3 linked regions of the Drosophila melanogaster genome follow. The protein of the gene in region 3 interacts with the protein of the main gene of each other region in a pairwise test. Each region holds a gene or a part of one and is shown on either strand. Other genes may lie near its edges.

The links. The genes of interacting proteins can lie anywhere in the genome.
Region 1: the proteins of Chro (region 3) and pzg interact in a two-hybrid assay, tested with the Drosophila melanogaster proteins (2 studies listed by BioGRID).
Region 2: the proteins of Chro (region 3) and east interact in a two-hybrid assay, tested with the Drosophila melanogaster proteins (one study listed by BioGRID).

What each region holds. Positions count from the first base shown.
Region 1 is NT_037436.4:21,284,497-21,292,262, reverse strand, and holds pzg (putzig), read right to left. Parts: upstream 6,165-7,766; 5' UTR 5,827-6,164; coding exon 5,196-5,826; intron 5,136-5,195; coding exon 2,776-5,135; 3' UTR 2,717-2,775; intron 2,658-2,716; 3' UTR 1,953-2,657; downstream 1-1,952. Other genes in the region: Cpr78Ca (cuticular protein 78Ca), read left to right, coding at 1-44; CG12974 (uncharacterized protein), read left to right, coding at 7,128-7,208.
Region 2 is NC_004354.4:2,010,963-2,017,094, forward strand, and holds the start of east (enhanced adult sensory threshold), read left to right. Parts: upstream 1-1,680; 5' UTR 1,681-1,695; intron 1,696-2,158; exon of another isoform or gene 2,159-2,823; intron 2,824-3,379; 5' UTR 3,380-3,559; coding exon 3,560-6,132.
Region 3 is NT_037436.4:22,871,837-22,882,053, forward strand, and holds Chro (chromator), read right to left. Parts: upstream 7,149-10,217; 5' UTR 6,798-7,148; intron 6,390-6,797; exon of another isoform or gene 6,183-6,389; 5' UTR 6,159-6,182; coding exon 6,101-6,158; intron 6,040-6,100; coding exon 5,614-6,039; intron 5,553-5,613; coding exon 4,621-5,552; intron 4,555-4,620; coding exon 3,288-4,554; intron 2,864-3,287; coding exon 2,766-2,863; 3' UTR 1,866-2,765; downstream 1-1,865. Other genes in the region: CG11109 (uncharacterized protein), read left to right, coding at 445-510, 599-1,852; Ssl1 (suppressor of stem-loop mutation), read left to right, coding at 7,530-7,594, 7,648-7,989, 8,042-8,951.

The DNA.
Region 1 (7,766 bases), 1.6 Mb from region 3:
GCACGCATCCACCGGTGGATGAGATTCGGTCCAGACGTTGGTAAAAAAACAGGACATTAAAAAAATTATATATTGACTTCTAAATAGCTGTCGATGGGCTGGCTGAATATCGTCGTTACACTTCGGAATATTTTTATTTCGTATTTATGTTAATTGTTTTTCCATGCAAATCGGACCAGAAGAGAACAACAAAAGCATGCCAAAATCTACAGCAAGTCAATATATATTCTAGAATTATAAATAAAGTGCTAGACTTAATTGATCTGCGTTCCTGGAGTCCGGAAAGTTTGCCTAAATGCAGGAACTATGTTCAATAAATTGCAATCAAAATCCGTACATTATACGAGTACTGCAATGGTGAAACTGGCTAAAATATGATAAGCATGTTTGTGGAATTCAATTTAAAAAACCCATAGGGGTTATGCTTACTGACATGCAAATAAGGAAATCGGTAAAGAAATCGGTAAAAATAAAAATATAAAAATTAAAAAAATTATTTAATAGATGCAGAAGAAAAGAATGAATAAAATGTAACGCTTTAATTTAATGTAATTGTAATAATATCTTATTTCTTGGTAATAATAGAAAACTTTTTTAAGAACTATTGTCTCAAAGAAAGCTAAGACTCATGGAGTGCAAAACGAATCAAATCCAGTTTTAATGCTTATGTCTTATAAGTGAAACGCAATTTTAGTCTTACTTAGTTTATCGAGAGCGTGTTGAAACCGGCAACTATAATTATGAAATATGCTAAGAATGCTTCTTTTAAATGCTCTTTTTAAAGCTTAAGATTTATGGACCGCAAAACTAGTCGAAGTCATGTTTTCTATGCTAATGACCAGCGAATCAAGCGCACCGAAATGTCAGCTTTCATCAGCGCACCCTAGATCTGTGAGCTTCGCTATAAATCTGTCATACCCATCCGATCCAATCTGATCCGATACAAAGTGCGACCTTGTCTTTAAGAACGACTTTCGCTTTTCGATGCGGCAATCGGCGAGAAGATTGCGCCTGCCGTCGCTCATTTGCATGTGGGCGCCTAATTAAGGCCGTTGCATAATATTGACCGACTCTCGAAGAGCGACTTAATGTAACCGACAGACTAGCAAGCCAAGTGGAGTTGACACCGTTTAATGTCACCGAACCGCAACAAGTTGCTGATTGATGCTGTCGGCTCAAACTAAATCCCCAATTTGGTTCCGGCCTCGAAAAGATTACCGCGCCCATCGCCAAAAGTTCACCGTGTAAGTGAATGAGTTAGTTGCTAGAACAACTCCCTTCCATTGAAGCGTATTCGAATATAAATTATTCATGGCGAGTTCGTTTATCTTATCTTCCTTTCAACAAATCCATTATATAAATGACAAACAACCCGCAGGCGCAGATCACCAATTTGTACGCGTCCTATTTTTGTATTCATAACTATGAAATAATCATTAGTTCCTCCAAAACCGCATCCACGTGCCAATCCGGTTGCTGTTTTCAGAATCACAACATTCACTGATTTATGGATCGGAACGGGGCATTCATAAGGCCTTCATGACAGTCCAAATGCTTTAATGCCACCGCTGGCAGTTTAGTATCCAACTTAGTATTAAATCTTATTAATCAACTACCTGAACATTTAAATATAGTCGACCTCATCCGCCGCCAACAGGTGTTGGGCAATTAAGAACGAGTCGAAAGTTTCGCTGGTATGCATACTTCGAAAATATCATTCATAACCGACTAATCCATTTTAAAGGTCAACGAACTTACTGACTTGAGAAATGAATGGTTGGATCCATACTGACAATATGTAAACTTTGGGACTGCCTTCTGTGTCATCTGTATTCATTGGAACACAGTTGCCATCAGCGCGTTTAATTAACTTATCTGAATTGATTTACATGCATACCAAATTCCAAAGATCGCTCACAGAGTATAAAGGAACTTGAAACCGATGTTCGTTTCTTTACAATTATATATTTCAAGTTGCTTGACATATATACGTGCATGCATATATTTGGGCGTGTTTGCGGCCTGTGTTTGTTTGTTTTGGGTGTGAATCTGGAGTTTATGGAAGTGGAAAGCGGGATTGTTCACCTATCCTTACATTTTACGGGGATCACTAGGTGTTAGGAAGCATCACTATTTCTGAATTGATTTGTGCCGATTTCGGAACTTAATTTTCATCAAATGTTTGTGTTTAAATCGATTTATTTAGTGTAATTGTTGAGTTATCTTGTAAATACATACATTTATTATATTCCAAGTTTCTCACATAAACTCTATGTTTATACATTTTTTGTCGCTTTCATCTTGCAGTTTTGTCTATACTATTACTAAACCTAGATACGATATTTAAGAGGCAACCAAAGAGATCTGGCTTGAGATCCCTGGCAGCCTAGTGCGAAACGGACCGAATGAACAATTTGATTTATTGAATTAGTTTTTTTCCTTTGCTTGGGTAATAAGAAATCTTTCTTTTAGTTTACTGGAGTGTTTAATACATATACTAAATGTAAATATATATTGAAAAGGTTCGTGTGTGTATTTTTCTGTCTTCGTGTTCAGTTGTCTGTAAAGTTGGTTCGGTTGTGGGTGTCAGGGAGTGGGTTTCAAATTGGGGTGTGCAAAAGTCCTCCAGAGATCTTGAGCGTGCCCACAGCTAAAACCTAAAACAAACGAAAAAGTATGAATATCCCAGTTCACGCTGGTGATTCCTTTAACTTACCAGTCCTCTTCGCATGCCAGTATGGTATAGTGGTCATGACCACGCCCCTAGGGCCAATCCTAGTCGGTCTTTGTCTCCGTAAACTCCTCCAGGGCAAAAAAGCTGCCGCCGGAGGGGCCACCAGTGCTGCTGGCCGTGCTCGTGGCAACAACGGTGGTGGATGCCGTGCCACTAGATGCCTCCGACACTTGCACTTCCTCGCCGGCCGAGTCGGCAGCCGCCTCCTTGTCATCTGCACCTCCGGAAGCGCTGGCTGCCTGCTGTGCGGCCTCCAGGACCTGTTGCTGAACCTGGACGATGGGCTGGCCATCTTCCGTGTACGACACGGACACTGGGATGCGGGTACCATCCTCGCTAATGACATGAGCGCCTTCCTCACCATCCTGTCCCTGCTGGATAATTAACTGCCCCTCGGAGTTCAACAGGGAGGCATCGATAAGCTGCTGTTCATTGTTGTCACCATGGACAAGTACCATCTGGCCACTGCCATCGGTCATCATCTGGAGGGTTTCGCCCTCAAGTCCCTCGCCGGACTGCAGAACTCCTACACTTTGGAGCAGCTGCTGTATTTGCTCGGGATCTTGCACAATTATTTGGTTGCCTTCGGCGTCCGTCAGGATGTGGTTGTCCAGCTGGAGGAGATGGCCGTTCTCGTTAACAATGAACTTGATCTGGCCACCTTCCACCTGTGCCTGCATGGCTTCGTCAAGTTCCATGGCAACATGCTCGCCACCTGCAGCTTCACCCGCCTCGCCCTCGGCTCCAGTACTGGCAGTAACCTCGCCTTCGCCAGATTCACCGGCTTCAGCGGTCGTGGCATTGGCCTCCGACTCAGTTGTGGGCGTATCTGTAGCCTCACGCTTAGCAACTACGTCTCCTTCGTCAGATGGTTGTGGTTCCTCAGCAGCGGCGGCTTCCTTTGACTTGGCGCTTTCTCCAGCCTTGGCCTTGGCTTTCTCTTGACCTGCTTTGCTAGCCGTCTTGGTTTCCTCTGAGGCCTCAGCTTCAGCAGCTGCAGCCTCGTTGTCATCATCTAAACTGGGCATGGAAACCGGTGCGGCATTGGATTTGCTATCGGCAGAGGAGGCCTCGCCGCTTTCGCCCTTGGCATCGATGCTGCCCTGGGACTGTGATTCGTCTTCGGCTTGATCCAAATTTGGCATGTCAATGCTAACAGAGACAGGTGCTGTGGTATTGGGCGAATCCTTTTGCGATTGGTCTCCGTCCGGTTGCGGGATAGTAATGTTGAAGGTTATGCCTCCACTGCCCTCCTGCGAGGTAATAACCATCTCGCCGCCTTTGCTTCCCGGTTTGGGCGCCTCACCGCTCTCGTTCTTGTCGGAGTGGAGCTTTTCAAACAGGCTCTCAATGTCGGCCTCTGCGTTTTGCTCGCCGCTCTCGTCACCGGCCTTACCAGTTGCCTCTCCGGGCTCATCGCTTAGTAAAGCCGTAGCTGCCGAATTTAGGGCAGTGGCTCCGGCCGAAGTTGCCTTCTTGTCACGTCTGTGGGTCTCCATGTGGTGGTTGTAGTATGTCTCCTGGATGAAAGTCAGTGAGCAAATGCTGCACGAGAAGAAGCGTATGTTGTTCTCCGACTCGGTGGTTGCCACCACAGCAGCTGTCGAAGCAGGCAGGCTATCGCTCAGTGCCTCATCAATGGTCTCTTGAAGGAGCTTCTGGGTGTTCAGGTTCTGGCTAACTGACTGCTTGGGCGATACCGTCGATGCGGAAGGACTCTGATGCACTTCGAAGTGCTTAACAAGCATCTCCCGTTTCGGGAAGGTCATCGAACAAGTGCCGCACTTGAAGAAGTTGGTCTGATGCTGTTTGGCATGCACAGTAGCAGCTTCGCGCGTCTCAAAGCGCTGAGAGCACAGGCGGCACTTAAAAGGCTTAGGTTTACCAGCGGCATGCTTGCGCATATGCTCATCAAAAACGACCTTGTCCGTTGACTTGAACTGGCAATGATTGCATGTGTATAGCGATGTTCCAACCAGATTCTCGTTGGCAGCAGCTGCAGCGGCAGCTGCAGCAGCAGCCACGGGAGCAGCTGATGCCGGTATGGTGGTGGTGCTGGTCACCAGTACATTGGTAGCGTGATTCGTCTCCATGTGCTTGCGCAGGCTGTTCTCGTTCACGAAGTTAATGTGACACATGGCACACGTGTTATCCATGGCGGTATTGTGGTCGCGCACCATGTGCTGCTTCATGGCCCCAAAGTGCGGGAAGATTTTGCGGCAGGTCTTGCACTGGAAGGTCTGCTGCTTGCAGGTTTCATAATGCGTGTTGAACAGCCGCATATCCGAGGTTTTATAGTCACACGAGGTGCATTTATAAATCTTGGTGGCCTTGCGTTGGACTGTCTGGGTGCCTTGGACGCTGCTCTGGGTGGTTCCTGGGGCGATCTTGGACTGGCCAACTGTACGATTGCAGAATATGCATTAGGAAAGCTTTATAATTTCTGTATTTATGTACTTACCTGGGTTTCCCTGCAGGAGTTTACGTGGACGCAGCAAATCCGCACTAGGACTCTCCTCCAACGAGCGATTGGCGGATCCGCCGACCATTTTCTGCATCTTGAGCGGCGGACTGCCTTCCTGGCCCATATCCTCGTTAATGGCATACTTCTTGTTAAGCAAACTGATGAGGTTCGTCTTGACGCGCTCCACATCGTTTTCCAGGCGGTCGTAGTAGTTCACCAGGTTGGTACAGCGTGAGCACACGTAATCCTCGCCGCAAACAATCACGAGGAAACCCTCGCCCACGAGCTGGGCCAGTTTGTTGGGGAATTTGGTGGAAGTGTGCGTGGTGCACATATCGGTTAGCGAAGTCTGTGGCTCGCAGCGGTCATCGCAGATATAGCATCGCGTGGCTAATCCGCCGATACCCACGCCACCCGACTCTGCATCGTTGACCGCCTGCTGCTGTGCTACGCCGCCAACGGCTGAGGCTCCTCCGGCAGAGGCACCTCCTCCTCCGCCACCACCGGGTACCACCATACGCGTCGACTTGAGGATTCGCGGCTGGCTGGGACCGGTCACAGTGACCGCTCCGCTACTGAGCAGATTGTTAAACTTGCGGTAGGTGGCCGGATTCAGTTGGTTGTTCATTTCGTGGCGTTTTGGATTCAGGTGAGCACGCCGTAGTGATGGTGTTATTCGGTTTGTGCGGGCGCTACACGCGCAACTGCAAGCCGCTACCTTTCAATATTAATCGGCGATTACGACAAACTACACTTCTGCACTCCGGTTTGGCAGCTTGCTGGGATTTATGTATCGATCGGGTACGGATGAGCCACTCGAACGAAACAATCTATCTTTTTTGGACACCAGGAACAACAATCTCTTCCGTTTTTAATTTTCGGTTTCGTTCTGAGTTGTCGCGGCGTCACTTTGACTGTACTAAAGACTCGGTGCTGTATTTTTTAGGGTTAAAAATGCGTATGTGCTGTAGCAGTTCTCGACGGACGCGTATGGTCGTCTCGCTCTTTAGCATGCTCGCTGCCCTGGCACGGCGGGAAAACATGGGCTAGTCGTTTCACTCGCACGCCACGGAAATGGCGGCTGCCTGGGAGGTCAACCATGGTCAGACAGAGAAAATCTCACAGCGTTGCCGTTCATTACGATAACGTAATTATTTACTTGAAATAATAAAGCATTTATTTTTCTTATTGCGATTGCTGAGTGGTTAAATACAAATAAATACTTACTTGTTGTGCTTGTATTTGTAAAAGGTAAATAATTAGCACATTTTGTCTTGAAAAAAGGCTCAGCGTCATTCCTATCATGCAATGTCAAAATTAACAGTGCGTTTTGTAGACAGTAGAGGGCGCCTTTGCCCGCCCACTTTAAATTCACAAATATTCTCCTCGTAAATATTTGGCATACCCAACCTGTGAGGTAAGCATTAAATACTTGCATTTACGCAGTGATAAAGGCCAACATCACTAATGTGCTAATACATAGGACCGATAAGATTCCGAAATTCCAGTTTTACCTATTCGATTTAGGTATATCTTTTAGCCAAAGGAAAGTTGAAGGGAAGGGGGCTCTCTTATCAGTAGCGATAATATAACATACGACCTGATAAACGTTCCAGCCAAACCACAGAATTCAGTTAACGAACGAAACGAAAAGCGAGCGGATACCGCCTCGATCGAAGCGAAACATAAAAAATAAAAGCCCCTGGCCAGTTGGCTTTTTGTTATAAGAGCCATTATCGCAAGGTTTATCGGGAAATATAGTAAACGGGTGGCGAACTCAATTGTCCGGCTCGATCGTTCAGTTGGCCAACAGACGTCGCGTACTGCAAAAGCGCACTCAACCCGATCGATTTGAGTCCCGCATACGGGGCGTGAGAATATCTCCCAGTATCTGGAAACCACCCCTATATATCGAACAGTCACTGCAAAATGTATTCAGCACCAGCGGCAAAAATCAAGCACTTTGGCTCCCTTAAAACGGTAGCAGCTTGGGCCGGAATTCTCGGAGTGGTAAGTCGGCGCTGGCAATTCAATGTTACAGTCTAGGCCGCCAAGCGACCGCGACCCCATTCCCAGCTCATCGATAAGTGATATGGGGAGATGTTCGACCTGACATTGAGCGCACTTACTAAGATTGGATGGTCTCTCCCTATCGAATAGTCCAGTATTCCAACAGTCGGAGAGCTAATCATGATACGAGTATAATACTCATTGACTCATCCGGGACGGCTCCCAAACTGAAGAACTGAGCCGCACCACAGATATCAGATAATGCCGATTGACGTGTGTAAACAAGTGAATGAACAAAAGATCTAGATTGGGACACTAAAAAACGTAAACGTAAATAAGTACATACAAAATTGGATATTTCGCTGGGTATGAATAATATCACGATCTAGAAGCCATCCAACCTCTTTAATGACGGAACACGAAGAACAAACGATAAAACAATTTTATTTAATTAATTTTCAATATAAATATAAATTTAAAAAAACATGACAAACAAAAACCGATTAAAAATAGTGCTCATTTTTATTCAGTGTGGCTCTGACGTTTTGAGAACTCCTC
Region 2 (6,132 bases), on a different chromosome or scaffold from region 3:
AAGAAAGACGCCAGGGCGGGCAAGCAACTAGGATAATCGATCGCAATGGCCTTGGTTACTAGTTGGTGATGTCAGTGGCGACGGAAATGGAAGTCCTGGCCACGCACTTGACCCAGTTCGGGAAAATCGCTTTTCTAGTCCCTCCAGAAGCGGCCGAATGGAAAGCGGGCGGAAGAACCATGCATAAAGCTATTGATTTTCCCTCATTTCCCAAGCAATTAAGGCCTTTGCCTTTAACCCAGTTACACGTACATATATCCATATGTACATAAGAACATACAAATGTCGGCATCTACATAATCGCAATGGTCCTTGGGCGGGTGCGAAAGTGGATAAACGGGAGAACCCTTGAGAGCGGGTGGGAGTTGGGCTAAGGACGTCGCCTGACACTTGCAGGATTCAGATTCAGATCTAGCCGCCTGCCGCCCTCCCTTTCGGGAAATGGAAGCTTGTGAAACGTGCAACAACCTACGCCACAGCATCACAAGTTGAGGAAAACCAGGGAAAATCCGCAGGAAAACCGAAAAGGAGTAGGGCAAGTCTGGCGCTCGGTGGTGGCGCTCGCTTCTTCCCAATTACCACCCCCGAATCAACGACATGTTATTTTGCCGAGTCCTTTTTTTGCTTTTTACCGACGCAGAAAAAAAGACGCATCAGCAGCACCAACAACAACAGCCGACGTCGCGGCGAAAAGAGCGAACAAACATTTGCCAAAAACAACACGTACACCGGACGAAAACGCACGTCGACCTGTTCACTTCCCTACAAAAACAGAGTTGCGAAACATCCCAAGTGGTAACGTCAATCCTTTTGTTGCAATGAGTGCAAAACAATTTTTAAAACAATTGTATTTATTGACTATTTTACTTATTTTTATTATTATTTTTTAAGTGCATTGTCAGTTGGAATTTCAATGTTCCCATTATTTATAGAAGTTGACCCAGCAAATGTTTCAATTTACGCGCGATTATGCTTTTTAATATGACTGACATAAATCAAATCTGTATAAATGCAAGATATGAAAATTATTAATTTCAAAAGCATTCCCAAGGGAAAAGTAAAAAATTAAAAGTTTAATTAGTCAGGACAAAGCTATCCGAATGCAACTTCTTTGAACTCATGATGGCGACGAGGAATACATCCTGGCGACGGCAGGACAGGCAGCCCTCCCCGCCGCCCACAAGCAGGGTTGCATGCACGCCAAGCCAAATCCGAAAGCAAATCGGGGCCGATAGTGCATAATATCGTGCGGCGAAGAGCGAGACGAAGAGTCGTGGCGAGTTGTGGCGAATTGAGGTTTTGCGCCGTCGGGCCGAGCGTCGCTCTTTTGCTCTTCATCTTGGCTCGTTATTTCGCTTCGCACCGTGTTTGCGTTCACAACTCTTGTTCGGGTTCTGCATTTTATTTTATTATTATTTTTTTTTGTTTGTTGCTATTCGGTGAGTACCTGCGGAAAAGTAAGGCAAGGCGATGAATGAAAGGAACAAAAAGGAAAAGAAAACGAAATGAAAAGCCATGCAAAGGGTTTTCCTCGTCAACTCGCTTGTTTGTGTTTTGTGTGCAAAGTGCCTGGTGAAAAGATGTACTCGCCGTACTGCCAAATGAGAAAACGGCAGGCGTTCGTTTATTAATGCTCGCGTTCGTATTTTTGCGAAAACCTGGTGAAAAAGAAATTTTCTGTGCTCGCTACTGCCTGTGAGTGTGTGTGAGTGAGTGTGCGTGTGCCTGTGCGCTGCTCGTGTCTGTGTGCGCTCGCTTTGGGTGTGCATGTACGTCACTGCCACCCATTTTTGTGTGCTGTTCTGGTTCTTCGTCCCGTCTCGTGTCGCCTCGCTGTTCCCTCCTAGCCGTCCCTTGCGGTTTTTGCTGCAACTCTGCGGAAACTCTCCACGAATTCCCCCCTTGCCTAGCGCACGAAGAGGATGGCAGCTCTGCCAATTCTTTGGTAACTTTTCCGCCTAGTGAAAACTGCTGCCAGTTTCCGTTCGCTTCAGGTACTCCGCTTCTTCCGTTCCGTCCAACTGACTGTCTGCCCGTGTTTACAATCGCGGCGTTTTTGCACACTGTGCCGTGCGTCTGTGTGAGTTCTACTTGGTGGTATATCTGTGTACATGTACACACATCGATACGACAGCGGAGTCTTCATTTTGTTATTGCCATTCTCTTTCACTTCCTTTTCGCCTGCTTTGTTGCTGTCGTCGCTGTGACAGTTATGCTAGTTGTTAGTGTGCGTGTCGTGTCCGTGTGAGTTTTCCGCGTTTCTTCGCCGGTGCGAACTGCAATCTGAAATCTCGCACTCGCGCTAAAATGGCGCATGTCAGAATCGAAATTAAAATCATAAGCCAAAAGCTACTCTGATCGTCAGGCCACGAAGAAGCGGAGAAAGAAGATGAAGAAGGAGGACCAGCAAGCGGCAACAGCAGAAGCAGGATACCTAACCAATTTGAGGATTATTCAACATCTCATCGACTCTTCAGCTTCTCTTCTCAGCCTTGCCCAGTTGCTGCTTCTTCCGACTCTGCTCTTCTCTCCTCTACACGCCACTCGTCTCCTCTGCTCTTTTCTCGTTTTGCTTTCCTCGCATTCTCGCAGCTCCCAGCTGCTGCCAAAACTTGTTTTCAGCAGCGATAGAAAAGAGGGGCAATGGAGCTGGACAGTGGCTGGCAAGGAGAAGAGGGGGTTTCTGGAAACCGCAAAAGCATGTTTAATGTTCTAGTCGCGTTACTGGACTCCGAATCGGAATCGAGTGAACGGATCGGATCGGATTGTCCTGGGGATTGAATGAGCTAAAAGGGGCTAAGAGAGCGGCTTACTTTCGGCCAGGTGAAAGCCAGGGCCATAAAACTAAGTTTACCACATTACCGCTTAGGATTTCGCTTCGGCTCAGATTAGCTGTTATACTGAAGTTTGGAGATTAAAGTCCTTTGATAATATTCTTTTAGTTGGATTGAATCGACTTAATAGTTGATTAGTTTGGAGAAAACACAACAATGTTGAGTTACAACTAAAAATTTGATTTATCTAAGTGAGCATATACATTATGACTTAGCAATCCAAAGGCTTATCAAAGTTTTCAATGCTTATCAGGGATTTTACAGGTGGGATGGGATTTCCATTCACTTAACAAGTTTGAATTTAGAAGATAACGAAAATATTTTGGTCTTCCAGAACGATTTTATAAGAGCATTATAATTAAAGTTGAAAGGATGCAAAAGAAACCCAGAATGGCGTTTCTTTTTGTTTTTTAAATCTAGTGCAGAATTTAACCTACTTCTGGGTTGAGCTGTTTTTGCTTTGCCAATTAGAACGTTATTCCCACATGGCGGATTAGTAATACGACTTAGTAACTTTCTTTTTCCCCTTCTTCGCGTCCTTGCAGATATTCTTCACATCACAGTCAACCAATGGGACCAAATCACTGCGACTCGAACTGGACACAATCAGCATCGGATCGCAGGGAACAACAGGAGGTGGTGGAGCAGCAGCGCCAGAAGGCGTCGGGGGAGCGGCCATCATAGGAGCAGCAACGTCGGCAGCAGCTGCCCAGGGCCCCTCGAGAATGTCTAGCCGGAAGGTGCCAGGAGGCTCTGGAGGAGCTGACGAATCCACAGCAGCAGCTGCCCCCCTGGATGATAATGCCAATGCCAGTGTGGAGATTCCAGACAGCAGCGAGGAGCCAGCAATGGGCGTCGGCGAAGAGATGTCTATCATAAGCAAAACACGCACCTCAACTTTGTCAGTGGAGCCCGCTAAGGAGCCAACAGTAACAGCAGAGCTGGAAGGCGAAAAAGAGCTGGAATCGAATCCAGTCTCCAAAACTCCTAGGTCCACGCCTACGCCAACCCTTACGCCAGCCGTCACGCCTACCGCCAGTGATGGAGTGGCGGCCAAGAGCGTGAGGGTTACCCGGCACTCGTCGCCACTGCTTCTGATCATCTCGCCCACGACAAGTAGACGTGAGGTCGGCGACGGAGAGCTAGACACCGAGGAACCAACGGGATCGGGTGGCCAAAGAAAGAGCTCCGTGGAGCGATCTTTGGCGCCCGTTATACGCGGACGAAAGTCCATCAAGGATCTGAAAGAAGCCAAAGAAGTCAAGTCCGAGGAGCCGCCTGCCGCAGCATCAGAGTCACGAGCTGCAAGTGGAGTGACGCCTGGCCAGGTCAAGGAACAGCATGTCGCGGATGGCAACGAAATGGAATCCTTGCCAATCACAGACAAGAAAGACCACAAAGACACAAAAGACAAGGGAGATGAGCGGGAAACCGATCAGGAGGAAGAGAAGGAAAAATCAGCTGATACAGAAATAATTGCAGATACAGAAAAAACTTCGGAGAAACAAAAGTATACAGAGAAGGACAAAGCTGCCGATAAAGATGGAGGAAAAGAAAAAGATATTGATGCAAATAAGGATATAGATAAGGAGAAGGAAAAGGTCAAGGAAGTACTTCCGCCAGTGGTGCCTATAGCACCAGTGACACCCACTTGTAACCGTGTCACACGTAAATCACATGCCCAGGAGCAGGCGATTAACACGCGGGTCACTCGCAATCGTCGCCAGTCCTCTACAGTTGGAGCCAACTCCACCGCGTCTTTGGTAGCTGCATCCTCCTCAGTAACAGAGCAACCCCCTCCATCTCGCGGTCGACGGAAGAAGCCAGTGGTGGTGGCTCCTCCCTTGGAGCCTGCGGTAAAACGGAAGCGATCGCAAGATGTTGAAGCCGACTCAGACGCCAACAACAGCACGAAATACAGCAAGGTGGAAGTGGTAAAGTCTGAGGAAGCTGAGGCACCAGAGGAGGACTCCAGTGCCGTGCCCATTAAGCAGGAATCTGTTGATGGCAACGAGGTCAGTTCTATTTCTCCAACAGTCACGCCCACACCCACACCTGCGCCAACACCAGCTCCAGTCCCGGGCAGTCGACGGGGTCGTGGGCGCCCGCAGAACAGGAACTCCTCTTCGCCTGCAACCACAACGCGGGCAACGCGGCTAAGCAAGGCGGGATCACCGGTTATCCTGACGCCAGTAGCCCAGGAACCGGCGCCACCGAAACGGCGGCGAGTCGGCTCCAGCACACGGAAGACTGTCTCGGCCAGCTCGCTGGCACCCAGCTCGCAGGGCGGCGCCGGGGATGAGGACTCCAAGGACAGTATGGCCTCGTCCATGGACGACCTGCTGATGGCCGCAGCAGATATCAAGCAGGAGAAGCTGACGCCCGATTTCGACGATAGTTTGATGCCAGAAGGCCTGCCCTCTACTTCTGGTGCGTCGAGTGCCAATGGTCATTCCTGCACCGAACCGCTTACTGTGGACACGGAAATTAATGTTAAGCCCGCTGATTCCAAAGTAAAACCAAAGGAGTCACCGGTGGTAGCAGTCGAGGAATCTCCATCACAATCCGAAACGCAATCTGCAAAGGTGTCAGCGCATGCGGGGAAGGCTCCATCTCTTAGTCCAGATATGATAAGTGAAGGCGTGAGCGCGGTCAGTGTTCGAAAGTTTTATAAGAAGCCTGAGTTCCTGGAAAACAATCTGGGCATTGAAAAGGATCCGGAGCTAGGTGAAATCGTTCAGACGGTTAGTAACAATGACACGGAAACAGATGTGGAGATGGCTGTTGATGGCGAGGTGAATCAACCGTCAACTCCCAAGTCGCAGGATAAAAAGAAAGAGGAGCAGGAAAAGAATCAGAAATCAGGGCTAAAGGCAGCAAAGAAGGCTCCTGCTAAGTTAGAACCTAAAGCTGAAGACATTTCTGAAATTCTTACTGACGTTCCTGTTGATATTTCGACTGAGGCAGTAGAAATTATAGAAGAAGCAGAGGAAGACACTTGTTCAAATAGCTCAATCAAACCAGGTGAGCTCCGACTGGACGAGAGCAACGATGAACCTGAACTGCTTCTTGAAGACGCCCTCATAGTCAATGGTGATGAGAATGAGACACCAGATCAACCGGAGGAAAAGGAGGACCAGGTGGAGTTCTTCCATACAGGAGAATACGACGACTTTGAGCACGAGATTATGGTGGAGCTGGCGAAGGAGGGGGTGCTAGATGCCAGCGGCAATGCATTAAGTCAGCAAAAGGTAGAACTTGAGCATCCCGAGGATGTAACTCTACACGAATCAAAAAA
Region 3 (10,217 bases):
TACATTACTGCGGAACTTCTTAAAATCAAGAAAAGTATCTCTGCCTTGACATACCACCCCCTTTTTCGACTGAAAACGCATACGCACCAACTAATTGAATCAAATGCACACGGCTAGGAGCGGAAATTTTAAAAACTTCTGCTTGGAAATGTCTAAAATCACAGAGCAAAATAAAACTTGACCGAGAATACACTTGCTGTTGAAAAAACTGCAAACTCACCAACATAAACGTTGCCGATAGAGATGGGCGCAGCGCATGAGCTAGAGCGGGATGCCGATGTTGTGTAGTCCCGTGGTGAAAACTCGGGAAATGCTGCCACGTCTCTTCTCCGCCACCTCGGCTAGAGTTGCCAACGATTTGGATTAATCGATTCATCATTGTCGCACAATGCTCACTCGATAAAGTTCACTATCCAGGTGATTTGAACTAAGTTAAATGTTAATATGTTTTACCCAAAAACACCATTTTTGGTGAACCCGTTGCTGGAAGCCGATATCCTTAAAGTGAATGTATGTACTTTCAATGTGCACAAATACGTATTTACAACAAAAACTGGCTTGCAAATTTTATTAACTGTTAATTCCTGGTTTTGTCAAGTCTGCTGCACTTGCTCCGCTGTTGGAATGGCTGTGCCTTACTCCCAAAGTCACCACTTACAGGGTGAACACTCTTAGGTGTTCCGTTGACGACTTTCGGAAAAAGTTAGAAGAAAAACTCGCCATTCGCTACGGTGTAAAATCTCCAAGGATTTACTGCTTGCCAAACCTACCCGAGATGTTGTGCATTGATCCGCTGGACTCACAGCTCACCAAAGCTGTGGCCGACTCCGAGCTCAAGGAGGTAGTGGTTGACACTAACTGCGGAGCTGCACTACTGCGAGGCGCCCACATATACGCCCCCGGTGTTTTAGCTATGGAGTCAAACACTGAGCGGGAGGAACTCGTCAATGTCTACGCAGATCTGGATGGAAAATGCAAGCGCGGGACGGTCAAGCGGTACGAAAGCCCAAATAAGGTTTTCCTGGGTACAGGCAAGGTGTTAATGCAGCGGTATCAGCTGTTCAACAACGCGGAGAAGCCCGCCTCTGGAGTGGCCGTGGAAATGCAGTCCAACGTCAGCGGAGTGCCCACGCTGGGGGATCTAAGCAGCGAAGACGGCCTGTTGCAAAACCTGCCTTCTATTGTTTGCGTCCGTGTCCTGGATCCGCAGCCCGGCGAGCGCATACTGGACATGTGTGCCGCTCCGGGTAACAAAACAAGCCACATAGCCGAGTTGATGGGCGATCGGGGATCTGTGGTGGCCCTAGACAATTCGGCCAGTCGCGTCCGCAGCATGCTGCCCAAATTGGGACACTACAAAAGCATAACGGCGCATGTTTTTAACTCCACCGAGGCAGTGGCAGCGGACGCTCCATCTGCACCCGTGGGAGAATTCACTGGGCCTCCGTTTCCATGTGAAAGCTTTGACCGAATCTTGCTCGATGCACCCTGCAGTGGGCTGGGCAACCGGCCACAGTTGTCCTGCAGCATTAAACAGGTTAAGGTCTTGTCCTCATATCCCCATATTCAGCGCCGGCTATTTGAACAGGCAGTGCAGCTCGTTCGTCCTGGCGGCATCCTTGTATATAGCACGTGCACCGTCACCGAGGATGAGTGCGAATGTCTTGTGGCCTGGGCACTAAGAAAATTTGTCGAGCTGCGGCTAACAGATGCCACTCCCCGGTGGGGCGGTCCCGGACTTCCGCTTCCCGGTTTCGAGGCATGTAAATCTCGTCTGTTGCAGCGCTTCGGTCCAAGCGGAGCAAATGCGGACACTGTGGGCTTTTTTATTGCGAAGTTTCAGAAAATATAAATAAATTCAACTTCACTGAAATTTTTTGTTTATTGGGCTCGATAATTTAAACATTCGTTTTGATTTGCAAAAGTAAGCCGGCTTATGAGTGATATAAGTGAGACCTACGCTAGTGGTATTTGATCAAGAAAATTTCAACCCTACGCTTAGAAAAGCATTTGAAAAATGCAGTCTGATAACATTTAGGCTTTGCTCTCCCATAGCTGCTTGTGCTATCTTAATGGAGATACATAATGTTATCTTTTTGTTTTCGAGTTAAAAAGAACTTAAATAATTTACAATTCATAACTAATGTAATTTTACTTAAATCTAAGTCCGTCATTGTTATTTAACGATTCTTGTTAAAAGCAAAATTATGCATTTCGGGAACTTTAAAACTTTCTACGACAAAGATTTACTTAATGATTTTACGAGTTGTAAGTTAAAAGGAAGTCAAAAATATTACCAATCATTGATGGGACCCCGATAAATGCATGTTTTGTTTGTGCTTGAGGAAATTACTAAATATGATGAGAACATCGATGAAGGCTTTTAACGCTGGCGGAATCTCTCACCTTGACTGCAGTGATAATTATCGTAAAACTGCTTGACTCCCACGATAAAATAATGTTTTAAATAAGGTATTCGCATAATTTATTTCATCGTTCGATGCCTTTTGTTTCCCCGGCGCAGCATTATTGTTTCGCTAGACGTTTAGCGTTCTGGTTCCCGGTATGCTTTCGCCAGAATAATATTCACTACTCGCCAAACACGGCTCTCAGTCAGTGCTGGTGCATACTTATGGCCAAGAGAATGGATTGGCTAGGACCAAACAAAAGTGGAAATGGGAAGAACCCACCAACGTCAGGTTCTTTCAATATAATAGTCTTAAGAACTAAGCCTAATTATATGTACGGATACTATTAACATGATTTTACGTTGGGATGTTGAGCGTCTTAAACTGATCTTCGTGCATCTCAGTCATCATGAAGGTTCCATCCTGAAGCAACAAAACAACGCGACGTGTACCTCCTGAAAAAAAACAGAAAATGAACAAGTAGTTAGTTTTTGAAGAATAATCCCCTAAATATTGCTATAATTTTCTATGCAATTCCGATTTATAAAAAAGCTACCCAATGTATAGTTCTGCAAGAAGAAAAGCAAGAAAATGCTATCGACTATCATCTGATAGTATCTACCCCTCGAGAAACAAACGCACTTGCGCTGCGAATATATATCCCTGCTTAATCATTCAGTTCTCTACGTTCATACAGACAGACAACGCTAGATCTGCTCGCTTATTGATCCTGATTATAAATAGAAAATATATACTTTATATCTTCAAAAAGCTTCCTTCTACCTGTTATGAACTTTTATTATTACTCTACGAGTAACGGATATAAAAGCCAACACAAGAAGCTGGCCTTGTCAAATTTTTATGAAAAACACGACTTACCCGGTGAAGGCAAATCTGCCTGTACCACCTCCGCTGGTATCTGGGATTCCGTGCCATCGCTGTCTGACGTCGTGATATGGATCTGAGCTGTGGGTGGCGTTCCCGTTCCAGCGGCAGAAGCCTCCGCTTGTTGAAGCACCTGGTGTTGCGCCAACTCCTCTTCTGTCATGGACACGAGAATCTGTTCACCGTCCGCCGTAGCTGCTCCGACGCCGTGAGACTCGACCTGTTCACCGGCTTGAACGGCTTCGGCCACTGCGTGGTCCAGAGAAAGAACATCCTGGTCTTCTCCCTCTGCGGCTGCCACGTACGCAAATTGCTGTTCTCCATCCGGGCCCTGCGTAACGAGAATAGTTTGTCCCTCCGCATTTTTTCCCGCTACCTGGTAAACAGTGCCGTCCTCTCCTCGCACCAGCAAGGCCGAGCCGTCCTCGTTGGTAAGAACTTGTTGATCGCTGCCCAGAAGGGCCTGTGCCGCGGCTTCTAGCTGCTCTCGTTGTTGCTCCTGCTGTTGCTCCTGCTCCATTTGCAGTTGGGTCTCCTCCTGACCAATAAGCTTGCCGGTGATTGGACACAACTGAGCTTGGTGCTGATGAATCTCCTCCTCCAATTCCATTTGCAGGGGCGTTGGCTGGATTGTTGACTTGGAAACTATTCTTTGCCGGGCAGGAGTCGCTTTCTGTTGTTGACTGGACTGCTGCTGAGACAGAGCCTGTCGCTGGCGTGCCTGGGCAGAGCGCTGAGCCAACAACTCTTCCCGGGTCACTACTTTACGCGTAACTTTCAAGTCCCCTGACTTTGACAGCTGTAAAATCTTTTGCTCTGGCGTAACTGCCTTGGCACCCTGAGGAGTTTGTACTTGTTGGCGATGTTGCGGAGTTCCGACACCGGCTCGTGCAAGGACTCGACCACCCGGGTGAGCCCGGCCGGGCGCCTGCTGCAAGTTTTGACGCACATGGGATGCACCACCCACTCCAGGACGGCGATGAAGTGCTGCTGTTACAGGGCCGTGGCCGGGAGTTCGAAGCGCGTGTTGTCGCTGGCCCACAGTGATGGGCGAGTTAGCGCCCGAATGCGCAGGACGAGCCATTGGCAAACGCTTGGCTATGCCTGCGGCGGGCGGCGCAGCGATCACTTTTTGCGGAACGGGTGCAGGCGAAACGGGTGCCGGTGCCTCGGAATTTTCAACCCGAAAAACGCCTCTTGTGCTGCTGCCCACCTCGGAGCGCGAAAGATACCGCACGGGACACTCTGGTTTCTCCTTTTTCTGCAACGAATTAAGATCATTGTTATTAATTGGCTGCTGCGTAGAAATAGCATTATTTCGTAATACCAAATTTATTGTGTTTGGCATCTCGGGCTTGCGAAACATGCCGGAGCTCGTGCTATCCTCAGTATAGATGATTTCACCCATTTTTTGTTCCGTTAGGGGCGATACCACGGTGGAATTGCCGTTAATTTTAGTCTGCTGCTTTTCCGTGGACTGAATCCGTGGCTTGTTCAACTGCACGGAGCTTCCTCCGTTTTTTAGACGCTTCACGGTATGGGACGGAAGATCCTCTTCAAGGTCCTCTAGGTCCATCGAGTCGTTTAACCCGCTCCCCTCTAAACTTGAGTCTGTATTGTTCAGCTTTCGCTTGATCGCTCCAGAAGATGGTGGCCATTCCTGTTCCGTGGAGGATTCATCTTCGTTTGCCGAGGAAGGCGAGGAGGATCCATCTCCGGCAACGGTTTCATTGACCCACTGCTTAAAGGCATCCATAGCCTTGGTCTTGGAAGTTCGAGATGGCCGAGAAGACGGCGATACCTGCGACGACGCCGGAAGTGGGCTGTGTGGGGCGGCAGTATCTGACTTTGCGTTTGTCCCTGATGACTGCATGCGCTTCAGAGCATCCAGACCCTTCTCCCTAGTAAGTTTTTGGCGTGCCAATTGCTTTTCGAACATCTGCAAAAAGTATGGCACACGCTCGAGATTGGCCATCACCTCCCAGGTGTTTTCATGATGCGAGCGATCAACCCACTTAACCAAATACTCGTGGGTCTTACGGCGCGGATTGAAGCGCTTAGCGACAATCTTTTCCACTGGCTCTTCGGTGCGCTGATCTGTCTTGGAATCGATCCTAATGGCTATGCGGTTGTTCGGCTTCACGGCTCCGGCAGAGGGAACTGAGGAAGGCGTTGGTGTACTCGGCTTGGACTTGGGTCTTTCGTTTTCTGTATCCTTTAGTTGATTGGCTAACGTAGGCAGCTTACCGGTTGGTGATTCTGTTGATTTAAATATAGTTTAATAACAAGTGTGACTTTTATTTAGAATGTTTTGTATTACTTCTGGTAGGGGAGACGCTCGTGTTGTTGTTGTTGCTATTTGATGTGTTGTTATTGTTTGGATTGACCACAGTCTTTGTTATTCGCACAGGCATGTCCTGGAGTTGTCCGTGTGCAATTTTGCCGAATGACTGTATGGTCTTCCCAGCCACAATCCACGGCTCGCGGACGCTATCGTCTAGTTTTACCCAATGCTGGTACAAGGCCCACGAGCTGCCGGACGCGTCCTTGCGCGAGTGCAGCTGAGTAGCTTTCCATAGCGTAAAAGCCCAGATGGTGGGCTTGGGATCGAGCGATTCCTTCAAATTTGCATTTTCCTTTTCGCAGGCGTCCTCTTTGTGGGCCTGAAACTCTTCCACGAAGTTGTAGGCCCGGAGACATCGTCCACATACAAGAACGTCCATGTTTGCCAATTCCTCCTGTGCAGCTGCAGGGCAGAACACAAAATTAACAATAAAAATTATTTACCAATGTTTTTAGTCACTCACCTCTTATAATGTTTGCGTGTTTGCCGATTTCCGTAGGTGAAATCTCCTGTGCCAACATTATTCACGACTCCAGCGCCCAAGCCTTTGAAGAGAGCATTTAAAGTGTGACTTAAAAATAGTGCTGAATGGAGTCTTATTATTTGTTATTGCTTGGTTTTGAAATATTGGTAAACGGCGAAGAAAAAGTACAGTGCCGTGGTGTGTTTGTGCTAACTTGAACCAGGTGGCAACGCGAACGGTCGCTGTCTGCGGTGTGTGTCCGATATGGTGAGTTCAAGCATATGTACATCTGCAATGGGCAAAATGCAGCGGCGCTTAGGCAGCCGAAAAAAAACACTAAGTACATTATGAAAAGAACGAGCCTGCCGCACTGTTGTAGATATATAATATAATAAAACACAGAAAAGCACGAACTATGCGTAATGCGACTTTATTAGTTACTTAAACTTATCTGTTACAAATGCATTTGAACTTCAACACAGCTAAAAATTAAAATAAATAAAACCCTATGGTTCGATCCTATTTGTTTTCATTTAAAAAAAAGGATTACATATAGTTTAAATAATATCAAAGTTCACAATTTCATTTTGCCCGCTAAACCTTGCAGGCACTAGATATAGGCCAGGTATGATTGCAAATAAGCCTATTCCACATATCATTAAATTAAAAGATTTCTCTAGAACACTTTGGTACACACCTTCATAAACAATTTTGGATAAATATCAAACTGAATGTTGTTTCAAACGGTTATTTTAATTTAACTGACTCCCGATTTTTCAACACGAGCAGCTCCACTGCTGCTCACAGTTGTACGCGCGAACTCTGAATGCCAAAAGCGAAATTCGGCTGCACGGAAATTGTCCAGAGATGATTTGGTTCCGGCTGTGCGGACCTTAGAATGCTCTTCTGTGCTAAGCTATTTAAATCCTAATATTACTGGGAGTGTATTGCCTGTCGATAGCTTTAAACTAACTGCAGTCCAGTAAATTTTAAGATTTCGAAGGTTTTTTCGAATATAGTATATGATATAAAACGCGGGTTTCAATGCTTGCACGGTTTTAAGTGCCCAAACTTAGGGTGTAGCGCCCTTTTCAGTTCGCCCGTGTGGCGGTGCACTTAGTTAGCCAATTACGCGTCGTGGTGGGTATATTTATTGATGTGGCAACTTTGGGCGCAATAATAATAATATTGTACTTTTTTTGTTCATATTAGGTAAGAAATTCGAAATTATTTTTTATTATTTCATTTTATTATGTCATTCTTTTGTAGATATTTATTGATATAAATACTTACCCAGGGTTGCCACCCAGTGTATTGTATTTAACGTAGGCCCTGTGTGTACACACTGTTACATTAGCCGGCGCATTTTATTTAGCGTTAATTGCTTTTCTTTCTTGATTTGACTTGGTAGTGCATCAGGACTGCAAGTATGGCCGACGATGAGCAAGAGGACCAGAAGGAGTACCGCTGGGAAACGGGCTATGAAAAGACATGGTGCGATGGTGTGCGTGACAATGTAAGCCCGCACTTACTTTTAATCCTATTAGGGAGGCCATCAAGGACGACGAGGATGGGATGCTGGATGGAGCCATTGCAGAGATCATTCAGAAGGCCAAACGCCAGAGGCAGGCTCAAAAGTCCAAGCAGAACCGCCTGGGCATGATGCGCCACATGTTCGTTGTGCTCGATTGCTCTGAGTCCATGAGCGTGCCTGATTTGAAACCCACACGACTGCGGTGCACCGTCAAGCTGCTGGAGCTGTTTATCGAGGAGTTCTTCGATCAGAACCCCATCAGCCAATTAGGACTCATAGCGCTAAAAGCTAAGCGAGCGGAGAAGGTGACCGAACTTACCGGCACTTCGCGCGTGCACCTCAAAGCGCTAGAGAGGTAAGAACCGAATCAAACCAGCGTTCTCCATTTATATCCCCTTTTTGTTTAGCTTGGCTAACGTGTCCTTGACCAGCGAGCCTTCGCTGCAAAATGGCCTAGATCTGGCCCTAAAATCGCTTAAGGTGGTGCCGTCGCACGCCTCCCGAGAGATCGTCATTATCATGGGCTCGCTCACCACATGTGATCCTGTCGATATTAACCTCACCATCGACGAGTTAAAAAAGGAGGGCATACGCTGCTCGGTTATTTCCCTGTCCGCTGAGATTCACGTGGCCCGCTACCTCACTCAGCAAACAATGGGCACCTTCGGGGCTGTTTTGGATGATGCACATTTTCGGGATCAACTCATGTCTCAGGTAGATCCACCGCCCGCCGCTAAGACTCAGCACAACTCGCTTATTCGCATGGGCTTCCCGCACACAAAGAATGAAGTTGAGGGCAAGGACGCGCCATTGTCCATGTGCATGTGCCACATAGAGAACTTGGAGGAGCCCAGTGAACTGACCACTACTGGCCACCACTGCCCGCAATGCAACAGCAAGTACTGCGAGCTGCCCGTGGAGTGCCAGTCTTGCGGCCTCACCCTGGTCTCCGCGCCGCACTTGGCGCGTTCCTACCACCACCTTTTCCCGGTGCCAAATTTTGAGGAACTGCCGTTTGAGGCGATGCCTGCTTCGTCATCCGACCTCACCAGCGATGTCAGGGAATGTTACGGCTGCGCCAAAGCTCTTGGGCAAGGCGTTGACAAGGTCGCCGATAAAGTCGTCTTCAGATGCGGTTTCTGCAAGCAGTTCTTCTGCGTTGACTGCGACATCTTCATTCACGACACATTGCACGCCTGCGTGGGATGCAACACCATTCCCGGCGTAGACGGTCTGGTTTACCAGCAAAGTTCCAAGTCTGACCAGGTTGATGCACACCCAGGGCCCTCAAAGCAGCGCGGCCAGTGTGGGATGTAACTGACTTTCTATAGATAGATATTTCGAACTTCCACATAACTACGCATTTGGGGCAAACAAAATACAGTTCGTTTCGAAACGGTGGTTATGAGTTGTATCAATTAAAATCTGGTTTTATGCTTAATAATTGTGAAGGCGAGCGTAGCATTATTATGGCCGTTGTGTGAGACCCTCTCAATTGTATTGCTAATTACTTGGTCATAGGCTCTCTGTGCCGCTTCATGCGAACTTGGCGCACTTTTGTCTAGAGCTCGCTTGAGTTCATCATCAGCGTTTGCCGCATTCGGTCGGGTTTAGTTGCGATTCAATCCAAAAGCTCTCGGCACCCACAGGTGTTCTCGTTGGAACTTTAGCTTTATAGATGTTAACCCGCGTTGGTGTTGTGAATTTTGAAGAGCCAGAACTTTTGTTCAGTGGGAGACCGATGTGACGTGGATATACTGCTCTGTGACACCATAAACAATTTATGAAGATCAATGACGCTGCTTTAAACTAGTATTAAACCAGTTAGAGGCCAGCTAAACCGCCACAACTGTCTATTACCTTATAAAGTTCAACATTTAATTGAAGATTCATAAGCATTCCGAAGGTCTACCATAAAAATCAAAAATGTATGTACATATATTGTGTTATTGTTATTAATAATTGGTTGTTTTTAAAGTTTCTAAATTTTTTTAAAAAGATAACTATTAGACTTATGCTTTTTGATTTTAGAGTTACAATACAAATTCTTTATGCGGTTTCTAAAAGATGCGAGCAAATGGCATCAATAATAGATAATAAAACATAAATAAAAGCTTTTAATTTGTATATATAAATTGGTCTAAATGTAGCTTGTAAATAATAGGTTCAAATGGTATGTAACTTGCGGCAAAATGCAATAGGATAAAAAATCAACAAAGCGAGCCGTGCGGGCTTTAAGATATGTACGGCTATGTATGGCTAGATCGGTAATCAAGAATGTAAATACTTTATATACTGTTATACATTGTAACTTTATAATTCCCAGCGGAACAAGACGTACTCGTAGTAATTTTATATAACTCCATATATCTCTTGAATAGCGAACAAGCAATGGCGATGAAATAAAAGATATTTTATAAACTGTCCGAATTGGATCCACATATTATTAGCGCTTGAGTCTAACATTCGCGATCATTTATAAGCCCATATGTGTTTTAAGGTATACAATTTCTATTTCTTTGTTACTATTGGTTCTAAAGTCTGTCATAGAATTCGTTAACTAAGAACTTGACCTTCAGAGAC